Linked DNA regions of Coturnix japonica. The main gene of each other region encodes a partner of the protein of the gene in region 2 in a complex. Links are inferred from orthologs where the notes say so. Each region holds a gene or a part of one and is shown on either strand. Other genes may lie near its edges.

Region 1 (5,119 bases), on a different chromosome or scaffold from region 2:
TGGAATGCAGTTTATGAAACTCTTAAAACCTTCCTATGCTTGCATGTATGAAATATTTCTTCCCTCGAATTGCTGCCTGCTGGTTAATTTGCTGTTGCGTACCACTTGGGTCCTAAAAATGATTAGACATTACATGGCTTTCTTATACACTTTCTGAACTGTTGATCTGTTGGAGACTGCTGCGGTTTCAGATTGGCCTGTTCTTTGTACTGCCTTCCTCACACAGACTTCTGTCCCTTCCAGAGATTTCCGGGTTCCATCTAGTCAAGAAAGGGGATGGCTGGGAAAAATAGCCTGGGATAGAATTTAGACCCCTCCAATATTCAGTTGCCCAGGGAGGTGGTGGAGTCGCCATCCCTGCCAGTGTTCAAGAAGCGCGTGGATGGGGAGCTAGGAGATATGGTTTAGGGATTTCCTGTAGGTATGGTAAAGGGAGGACGGTTGGACTAGATGATCTTTTAGGTCCTTTCCAACCTTGTGGTTCTATGATTCTATGAATGTTAATCATAGCTTCAGAGGTTACAGTATTGTCACCTTCTGGATATGAACTGATACAGGAAGAAATGTATAGGCTAATAGAATTCCTTAATTTTCTGGACTACCTGAAAATTGGAAGGGTTTGTGGAGCTCTCTGCAGGAAAAAGTAAATTAAGAAGCTCTGGAAATGTGTTGAGGGAGGAAAAGGTAGGAATGGAAAGAGAGGAGAAAGCAAGTCTTTAGTCCAACCAAAGCAAGAGATGTAAATTAAGAAACATTAAAAATGTCTGTTCTTTGGGTGTACTGAAGTGTAAGGTTTCTGCAGCTGTTGAACACTGCCAGGAAACAGAAATTCCTGACCACCTGCATTTGTTTGGAACAGATCGTCCTGTGGGTAAAAGGATCTGATGCCACAGGAAGACACAAAGAGAAGTGTTGCCAGTAAAAGCGCTGTAAATGTTCACTTGTGAACCCACAGAGAGCGAGTCAAAGGGAAAAATATGTGCAAAATTGGACTAAGGATTTTATTTGCAACTTCTTGTTAGTAGCTATAAATTCAACCCAGGAGGGAGGAGTGAGAGTATTTAACTGACCAAGGAAATTGCTGGCTAGACTCCAGCTGATACATGCCAGCAAGACTTTGTTTTGGATGTCATTCTGATGCTGATACCTCTTGAAAAAGGTAGTGGAGGAAAAGACAACCAGCTGAGAAACCTGAAACGGGACAGAACGAAAGAGACTGATGTGTTTTGCATCTGTTAGTGGTTCTCCTGTCTTTCAGCATTGCCCTGCCGTGTTTATTAGCACACCTTGTTCCCTCAGTCAAGGTCACATTCTTTTTTCCACCCCCTGCATCTGTTGGGCAGATTGCTGTGCTTATTTCAGGCACTGGTTGCACAGTATTTTTCATAGTCTCATGTGAAAAGCTGTCTGGGGATGGTTTATTTGGTATTTAACCTGTCTTTCGGCGTTCTGTTTGCAAACTAAGCAAGTATTTCTGGTGTTTATTTTCTATAGGTGTGTTTTGCTTATTAAATAGAGAAAGTATTAATTGTAATGACAAATCTCTCTTACTCAAAGAACTTAAGTGCTTTATTGTGGGGGAGGCACGAAGGAATTTACATACCAAAACCTTTCTTGCCCAAGTCACTGGGAGGGGAAGGTAGATAAGATTAAACAAAATAGTTCTGTTCTGTTTTGTACAAGTCTTTATCGCTTCTTTATGCTCTTCCAAGTCTGACTCTGATTAAGAGTCTTGAGTGCTGTCTTAAAAAGGCATCTGAATAAATGGCTTCTCTGTACTAATCTGCTTAGCTGAATGTGAACTGGCCTAAACATAAAACAGTGTGTGTTTAAAGACCTTGTAGCTAAAAAATGTAGAGGAATAGACTGTTTTGCTATCCCAGTCAGATTGCTAAAACAGAATTACTGCTCTGAAAGGGTATTTGTTCTTGTCCATGCACTTGGGCTTAGGTCCCATATATGAATATTGCTTCTGAATTAACTCTGGGAAGTGTTCCTCTCAGGATTCCTACATGCACTTGGTTGTGCAAAGACCCTTTTTGATGCCAGAAGAGAATCTCTACAGAGACAAGGAGTTTATATTGCTTCCATCATATGGCTCCATTATGATGTGAGCCATTTGTTACAGTCATTTCCTGGCTTTGTTTTCAGTCAAGGAATCAGACACTTACTTTTAAATATCTTTTCAGATTTCTTCAGAGGTCCCACTGTGTCCAACATTCGTCTGGCTGGGTTAGAACATGTTCTGCATTTCACAGCTGTCGATGGCAAAATTTACATGAGGAGCTACAAGTGAGTGTGTATTTTATCCATGTTTGGTTTTCTGGTAGACTTGTCAAGCTCTCCCAAATTTTAGCCTGTAATTCTGTAATTAAACTGCCTGGAGCAGTAGCGAACTGCATTTAAAACATATGGTATGTAGAGGTGTTCTGCTGTAACTCAGAGTAACTTGTGTGGCAGAAGGAAAGCACTTAAGACCTAAAGGTGTTCATTCCTTCTTTGTTCATTCCTCTTCCTTCTAGCTAGGAGGACTGTTCTCTCATGGTTGGACTGGTAATGTGTTGCAAATTAGACTTGGGGAACTGGTGAATTTGGAGTATCTTTTTAGACTTCACAGACTTAGTCTGATGTCAGGCTGATGTCGTAGGACTCTGTTGAAGAACAGCAGGCAGTACACTGTAGTCAGAGATACAGAAGGGAAAACAGGAATGTGCAGAACAAGATCATCTTCCTGACCTGGCATTTGCTCTCACAGTTCATGGCCTTTCCTCTGTGGGCTGCAAGTGCTGAAAGCCCATGTATTCTGTGCAACTTTGATTTCTCCTGTAACAACAATCTCTTTCTTAAAGAAACAAAAAACAGTACACACACAGCAAAACAGCACCAATAGAAAAGGCAGACTTTTTGCCTAGGGCTCAGAGTGTTTTGCTGTAAACTGCAGTATATGTACTTTCCCTGTTTGTTAATACACAGGGCACTGTTTTGAATTTCTGGAATGGTGTGGCTTTTTAGGGTAGTGTAATTGAATGTTAAGAGTTGTAATGAGAGTTCTAATCCCATTTAAAATACAAAAGCTAAAGAGATCATATTTTCAGTGTGTTCATGTTGTGATGGAAATTAATTATAAATTTATTGACAACTTTCTCAATAATAGAATTAGCAGTAGCAGTTTGTTTTTAATAATCTTCCCAATTGCAAGATTGAAACTGCCCTTTAGGAAGGCAGATAAATATTTGTCCCAAAGGACAATGTTGGTTGCTTTTGTTCTTTCCTTCTAGGGTGCTTCTGAAGAAATCTGGCTGTAAAATACCAAGAATTGAACTGGAAGATATCGGACCTTCGTTAGATTTGGTTATGAGGAGAACACATTTAGCTTCAGATGACCTTTATAAGTTATCTTTAAAACAACCCAAAGCCCTAAAGGTAAATCCCTTGGGATCATATGCATGTGTGGTTTTAGGCACTTGATTTGGTGGTTTATTGGTGATGATGGTACAGGCAGACACGCCTGGCTTCTCACCACAGCTACAAGCACACTCTGTACTCAGAAGTACTAATGCCGTTCTTCCCTTACAGCCTAAGAAGAAAAAGAACATCTCCCATGATGTGTTTGGTACAACTTATGGTCGGATCCACATGCAGAAACAAGATCTTAGTAAACTGCAGACAAGAAAAATGAAGGGGTTAAAAAAGAGACCAGCAGAGAAGTCAGCTGAAGATGGTGGTGTTAGTCCTAAAAAGACAAAATCTGGGTGATGGCCTGGAACAACTTGGAAAGCTATTTGTATCTTAATGTTTTTAAATGTAAATTATAATATAAAAGTGGCAAACATAAAGGATTTGGCTGCCTTTATGTTTAGTTTTATATTAAAAAATCTCACAAAAATTTATGATTTGTCATTCTGAAGGGAGCCTTGAGTTATTGAGCTCTAGCTTAGAGCCTGCTTATTTAGAAGGGGAGGGGGGAAACCACAAGATGTAACATGTTTAGTTTTCCAAAGCTGAATATTTATTCTCTTGATATGAGCAAACATGTGCTAGTTAAGCAGGTGACTCATTTCCCGAACAGTTTTATGGTTACAATGTTGGGAAACCTTGATCAGTCAACCTATCTTATGAACTCCTTGCAGGACCAGCATAGTGTGTACACATAATATGTGCAACATGACTTCTGCGTTCATTTACTGCTGATGTGTTTCAGTTTATGCACAACTGCAATACTTTAATAAACTCCAAACCATTTTCTAAAGTATGAACTCGTGACACGTGTCTAATGCCAGATTACTTGCACCAAGCCCTCCTTACCATTTGCAGAATGAGAAGTGATTAAGGTGTTTTCGCGGTGTTCATCACCATGGTAGCAAAGTACCTGATGTTTGCTTTAGGCATAAATGAAACCTTTACAGTTGGAATTTTGATCTTTGATGCTTGATTTGTGCCCAGAATGGAAGGAGCAAAGGTAAGTTAGTATTTTTGCTGATCTTAAGGATCTCTACCGTGTTTTATTTTGTGGTATGTGAAGCAGCCGTGAAAGGTACGAGTCTTCCCTTATCTCTGCTTGAGAGCTGCTTCTCTCCATAGTCTATGCTTGTGAGTTGGGGAGGATTCTGTATTATAAATATGTGCACTTTAGGTACACGATGAACACAGCAATGCTGCGAGTTTGTTCTTTGGTACTTCCTTTTCTATTCAGTTCTCTTAAGAGTTGGGTCAGCTGAAGTGTCACATCAGGAGACAGCTTCTTATTTTTGCCTCTCTCCTACTTCCTGGATGGAAGCCGTTGGGCAGCTTTGCAGTCCTTGTGTAAGAGCTGAGCTGTAAGTCTGGCAGTGCAGTTGCCATGCGGTGTTCTTGCTGCACTTGGTTTGATGAAACTTACAGCATGACAAAGAAAGGGCTTTCAAAGTGTGGGGTCTTTCTGAGGTCATTAGGCTGTTTTTGGTTTTTTATATACAAATTGTTTTCAAGTTATGTTGCTATCGGGGATTGAAATCTGTTCAGTTTCTGGTAAGTACTTTGTATTAGTCAAATAGTCAAAGTGGTGCTGTCTTGGTGCATAGTGGGCAGTGTGGGTTTCTTAGTGTGCAAGGAGATAGTTGCTAGCTTGGTTTCATCCTGA
Region 2 (4,681 bases):
GATTTGCAAGCACCCATATAGCAAATTACAGTTCCTGGAATACATAAGAAAGCTGGAATGCAACTCTAAAACAACAGTTCCCAGAAATTGAATTGCTACATTATGGGCTTTTTTTTCTTCTTTTTCTTTTCTTAGCAAGTTCAGGCTATCAGATGAAACAACAAGTCCTGGTATGTGCTCCTACTGCTGTTCTAGTGACACACAGTAATCATAAACTCTCAAGGTAACTTTGGAAGTGTAAGAAATACTAGCGATTGCATCCTTCCACTCCTAGTCATTTATATGAACGCTTTGGGGCTTTGAACAAATATTAACCAAAAGAACTCAGAGTTCACTGCATAAGAACAAAACTCAGGAGAGCACAAGGATCAGCAGGTAGGTATTGACCAGACTGCCATTCAAAAGTACAGACGTATGCTTGAATCTCATCTAATAGTGCACATACATCCCTTCAAAGACGCATCTTTAAAGTTAATTTCATCTGTAATTCTAGGTGAAAAAATAACGAGGTCCAAGAAAGAGCATAGCCTCCAGTGCAATGCCATCTTGTGGTAAAAGGAGAAAAGGTATGCGTCATCTGCTCCAATTCTTCCATAGTGTACAAAACACACTCAGAATTGTTGACTTGGGAGTGGAAAAAAACGAGACTTTATCACAGTTAGAATTATAAGTACATTCATCTCTATTTACAAGCCTAGCATTTTATTTACTTCCCCAAAACACTGCTCTGCCGTTAGAGTCATTTCCGTCACTGCAGACATTATGTATCCGTAGAGATGTGATTTAGCTTAGTAGAAATGTGTATCTTGTGTAAAAATTCCCATAACTTCCTTGGCCACAACTAGACGCCCCCTTTAGCTTGTTTTGAGGGTACATGAGTCAGCTCGAAATGTCATGGCCATGCAGGCCACATCCCTGTAAAAGGATCCTTCCAGACCTCATTTATTTAAAAATAGCATGGCAATATCTCTGACCCAGACAACCTTTGGGTGCACGGTGTCACCTCACTTTTCACTGTGCTTCATGAGGCACCTGCCAATCCCACTATCCAAATGCTGTTCCCCTTCTTCCTTCACCAACAGCCCTGCCCTCAGGGTCACTGTCAGTCCTAGTGGGGCTGGAATATCACAGAATCACAGAATGACCCGGGTTGGAAGGGACCTCAAGGATCATGTAGTTCCAACCCCCCTGCCTGGCAGGGCCACCAAACATACACATTTACTAGATCAGGTTGCCCAGGGCCCCGTCCAACCTGGTCTTGAACACCTCCAAGGACGGGGCATCCACAACCTCCCTGGGCACCTGGGGAGGACTATATGGGACTTGAATTTTGGTTCTGCGGCTAGAACTTTTAGACATGGCTGTGCCGCAGTGCTGCGGGCACCTGAATGTTATGGAAATTTATGCTGTGAAAGAAATGTATCTATATTATTTACAAATCTGTGAGTCTTAAACCTGCTTGATGTTTGCGTGCTATCACACACACCACCCACAGTGGCTGGCAGAGCTGTGAGGCCGTTTGCTCACCCTGGATGCTGCACATTCAGTCACAGCCCTGGCCTTCCGTGATACCACGGGGCAGCAACACCTGACTTTCACAGACCCTCACTCCAGCCCTGTCCCATGCTGGGGCTAAATGCAATGCCTGCTTGGCAACCACCACACAGCGGGGCGAAGGACTGTGGCAACCACCACACAGCGGGCTGAGGGACTGTGGAAGCCGCTGTGCCCGGCATGGTGTACTACATCTCCCATGGGGCGCTGAGGCCCGTATCTGTGCAGCCTACATTTCCCGTCATTCCGGGCTCTGTACGCAGTTCCGTCGCACTGACCCGTATTGCTGCGCCGCGCTTCCTGCGCTCGGGCGGCCACACGCGGTCCGCCACCATGGCGGCCGTGCGAGTGGAGGAGGTGCTGGCGGCGGCGGCGGCCCAGGAGCAGCAGCAGGCGCGGAGCGTGCAGGTGGAGAAGGAGCTGGAGCTGGAGTTCGACCTGGGCAACCTGCTGGCGCTGGACCCCAACCCGCCTCCCGCCGCGGCGCTACGCGGGGCCGGGCCGCAGCGGGAGTCGCGGCTGCGGGCGCTGGCCCGGGACAACGCGCAGCTGTTGGCGGCGCGGCTGTGGGAGCTGCCGGCCGAGCGGGCGGACGGGGCGGCGGGGCCGCTGGTGGCGCGGCTGCCCGAGCCCGCGTTCCGCCTGCCCCGGGAGAAGCCGCCGCCTCGCCCGCGGCCCCCCACGCGCTGGGAGCAGTTCGCCCGGCTGAAGGGCATCCGGCGCCGCAAGCGGACCTCGCTGGTGTGGGACGAGGAGGCCAAGGAGTGGCGGCGGCGCTGGGGGTACCGGCGGGCGGGCGGCGACCCGGCCCGCGCCTGGTTGGCGGAGGTGCCGGCGGGCGCAGACCCGAACGAGGACCAGTTCGCCAAGCTGCGGCACGCCAAGAGGGAGCGGGTGGCCCGCAACGAGCTCAACCGGCTGCGGAACCTGGCCCGAGCGCACCGCCCCGCCGCCGCCGCCCCGCTGCACCCTACGGGCCACCAGAGCCGGCAGGAGCTGGGCCTGGTATCGCGCGTGGCCCGCGTCTCCACCGCCTCGCTCGGCCGCTTCCAGCCGCGGCTGCCCAAGGAGCCGGCGGAGCCGCCCTCCCGCGACGGCGGCAAGAAACGGCGCTTCCAGCCGCTGCTGGGAGACCTGGCGGCCGAGCGCGGGCGGCAGCTGGAGCTGCTGCGGGGCATGAACAGCAAGAAGCCGGCACTGGACATCACCCGCGCCGTCAACAAGCAGCTCCGCGAGGAGGATGCCGAGGCGGCCGCCGCCAAGGGCAAGAAGCGGGGACAGCGTGGAAAGCGGGGCCGCCGGCAGCAGCGGCCCGGGAAGAGGAGCGGAGGCGGCAAGAAGGGCGGCGCGGCCCGACGGCAGCAGCAGCCAGCGGGGGGCGGTGGCAGGAGGAAGAAGGCGTGAGGGACTGTCTGCATGCAGGCTGCAAAGGGAACAGCGCCGTGGGCACTGAGGGACTGTATGCGAGGGGTGCAAAGGGACTGCTCCACATCCACCGCTGTGCAGCCCGCACCTCTGTCAATAAACACATTTTGGTGTTTGAAATGTCTTGTGCACGGCTCCTGTGGGAGGGCTTGGGGGTGGCTGGGCAGCAGCTCCTGTGTTCTGCAATGGGGAGGTCCTTGAGGAGTGGTCCTTGAGAGCAGCTCAGCAGAGAAGGACCTGGGGGTCCTGATGGACGAAAGACTTAACATGAGCCAGCAGTGCGCTCTGGCGGCCCGGAAAGCAAATGGGATCCTGGGCTCCATCAGGAGAGGGGTGGTCAGCAGGGATAGGGAGGTGATCGTCCCTCTCTACTCTGCTCTTGTGAGGCCCCATCTGGAGTACTGTGTCCAGGTGTGGAGCCCTCAGTACAAAAAAGATATGGAGATTTTGGAAAGGGTCCAGAGGAGGGCCACGAAGGTGATCAGGGGGCTGGAGCACCTCCCCTATGAGGACAGGCTGAGAAAGTTGGGTTTGTTCAGCCTGGAGAAGAGAAGGTTGTGGGGTGACCTCATTGCAGCCTTTCAATACCTGAAGGGAACTTACTCCCAGGAAGGGAGTAAACTCTTTGAAAGGGCTGACACGGGGAAATGGTTTTAAGTTAAAAGAGGGAAGATTTAGGTTGGATGCTGGGGGGAAGTTCTTCACAAGGAGAGTGGTTAGGCCCTGGAACAGGCTGCCCAGGGAGGTTGTGGATGCCCCGTCCTTGGAGGTGTTCAAGGCCAGGTTGGACGGGGCCCTGGGCAACCCGATCTAGTAAATGTGTATGTTTGGTGGCCCTGCCAGGCAGGGGGGTTGGAACTACATGATCCTTGAGGTCCCTTCCAACCCGGCTCATTCTGTGATTCTGTGAGGTGCTGAAGCAGGTCCAGAGAAGGACAACGAGGCTTGTGAAGAGCTGAGCGGTAGCGCTGCAGCCAAGTCCCCCGGCGTCCCGCCCCGCGGCTCCTGAGGGGTGTTCCCGGCCGTGCCGTCCCAGCGGGCCGTGCAGCGCCATGGCGGCCGGGCGGGAGCGGGCCGTGCGCCTCCTCAGGCAGCTGCAGCGGGCGGCGTGAGTGCGGGCGGGACGGGTGGTTGAATGCCTGCAGGAGGTTCTGAGGGATTCCTTCGGGTGTTCTGCCTTAGTTTTACCTTTAAAACGGCACTTCAGTACTTGTGTTGTGTTCTTTGTGTGTTCTTTGTGTTTTTTCTTTCCTGCTATCCAGATGTCGGTGCCCGACTCACAGCCACACTTATTCCCAAGGTATGGTTTAAATCGCGTGTGTGAAATAATTCTGCATTGAGACTGTGGCCATTGTGTACACGTACTGCCTGGGTAGAGGGTGCATGTAACAGATAGAAAAGAGAGCAGAGAAAGCATAAGGTGAGCAGTCGCTTATTTTGCAGCTGTGCGATAATAAAGATTTTTGTTGGAGAGATCCCATGTCTCCATGTAAGCTGCAGTCAGTGTGCTCTGTCCTCCTTCCCCCTGCTGAAAGGCAGGCTGCACAGAAGCTGCTGCTGCTCATAGAGTGTCACAGCATGTCCTGAGTTGGAGTGGACCCACACAGATCACTGAGTCCAATGTGTGAGCTGACTCTACACAGAACCACATAAAAACAAAACCCTATGGCTGAGAGCGCTGTCCAAATGCTCTTTGAACTCT

Evidence for each region.
Region 1: RRS1 (region 2) and RPF2 share a complex: the UniProt entries of both Homo sapiens proteins name them as parts of the hexameric 5S RNP precursor complex. The link is inferred for Coturnix japonica from reciprocal best matches to the Homo sapiens genes RRS1 and RPF2.

Annotation. Positions count from the first base shown.
Region 1 is NC_029518.1:60,330,663-60,335,781, reverse strand, and holds the end of RPF2 (ribosome production factor 2 homolog), read left to right. Parts: exon of another isoform or gene 1-1,191; intron 1,192-2,189; coding exon 2,190-2,292; intron 2,293-3,278; coding exon 3,279-3,423; intron 3,424-3,576; coding exon 3,577-3,756; 3' UTR 3,757-4,259; downstream 4,260-5,119. UniProt on the Homo sapiens protein: Involved in ribosomal large subunit assembly. May regulate the localization of the 5S RNP/5S ribonucleoprotein particle to the nucleolus.
Region 2 is NC_029517.1:104,229,999-104,234,679, forward strand, and holds RRS1 (ribosome biogenesis regulatory protein homolog), read left to right. Parts: upstream 1-1,820; 5' UTR 1,821-1,887; coding exon 1,888-2,958; 3' UTR 2,959-3,099; downstream 3,100-4,681. Other genes in the region: ADHFE1 (hydroxyacid-oxoacid transhydrogenase, mitochondrial), read left to right, coding at 4,032-4,087, 4,242-4,279. UniProt on the Homo sapiens protein: Involved in ribosomal large subunit assembly. May regulate the localization of the 5S RNP/5S ribonucleoprotein particle to the nucleolus.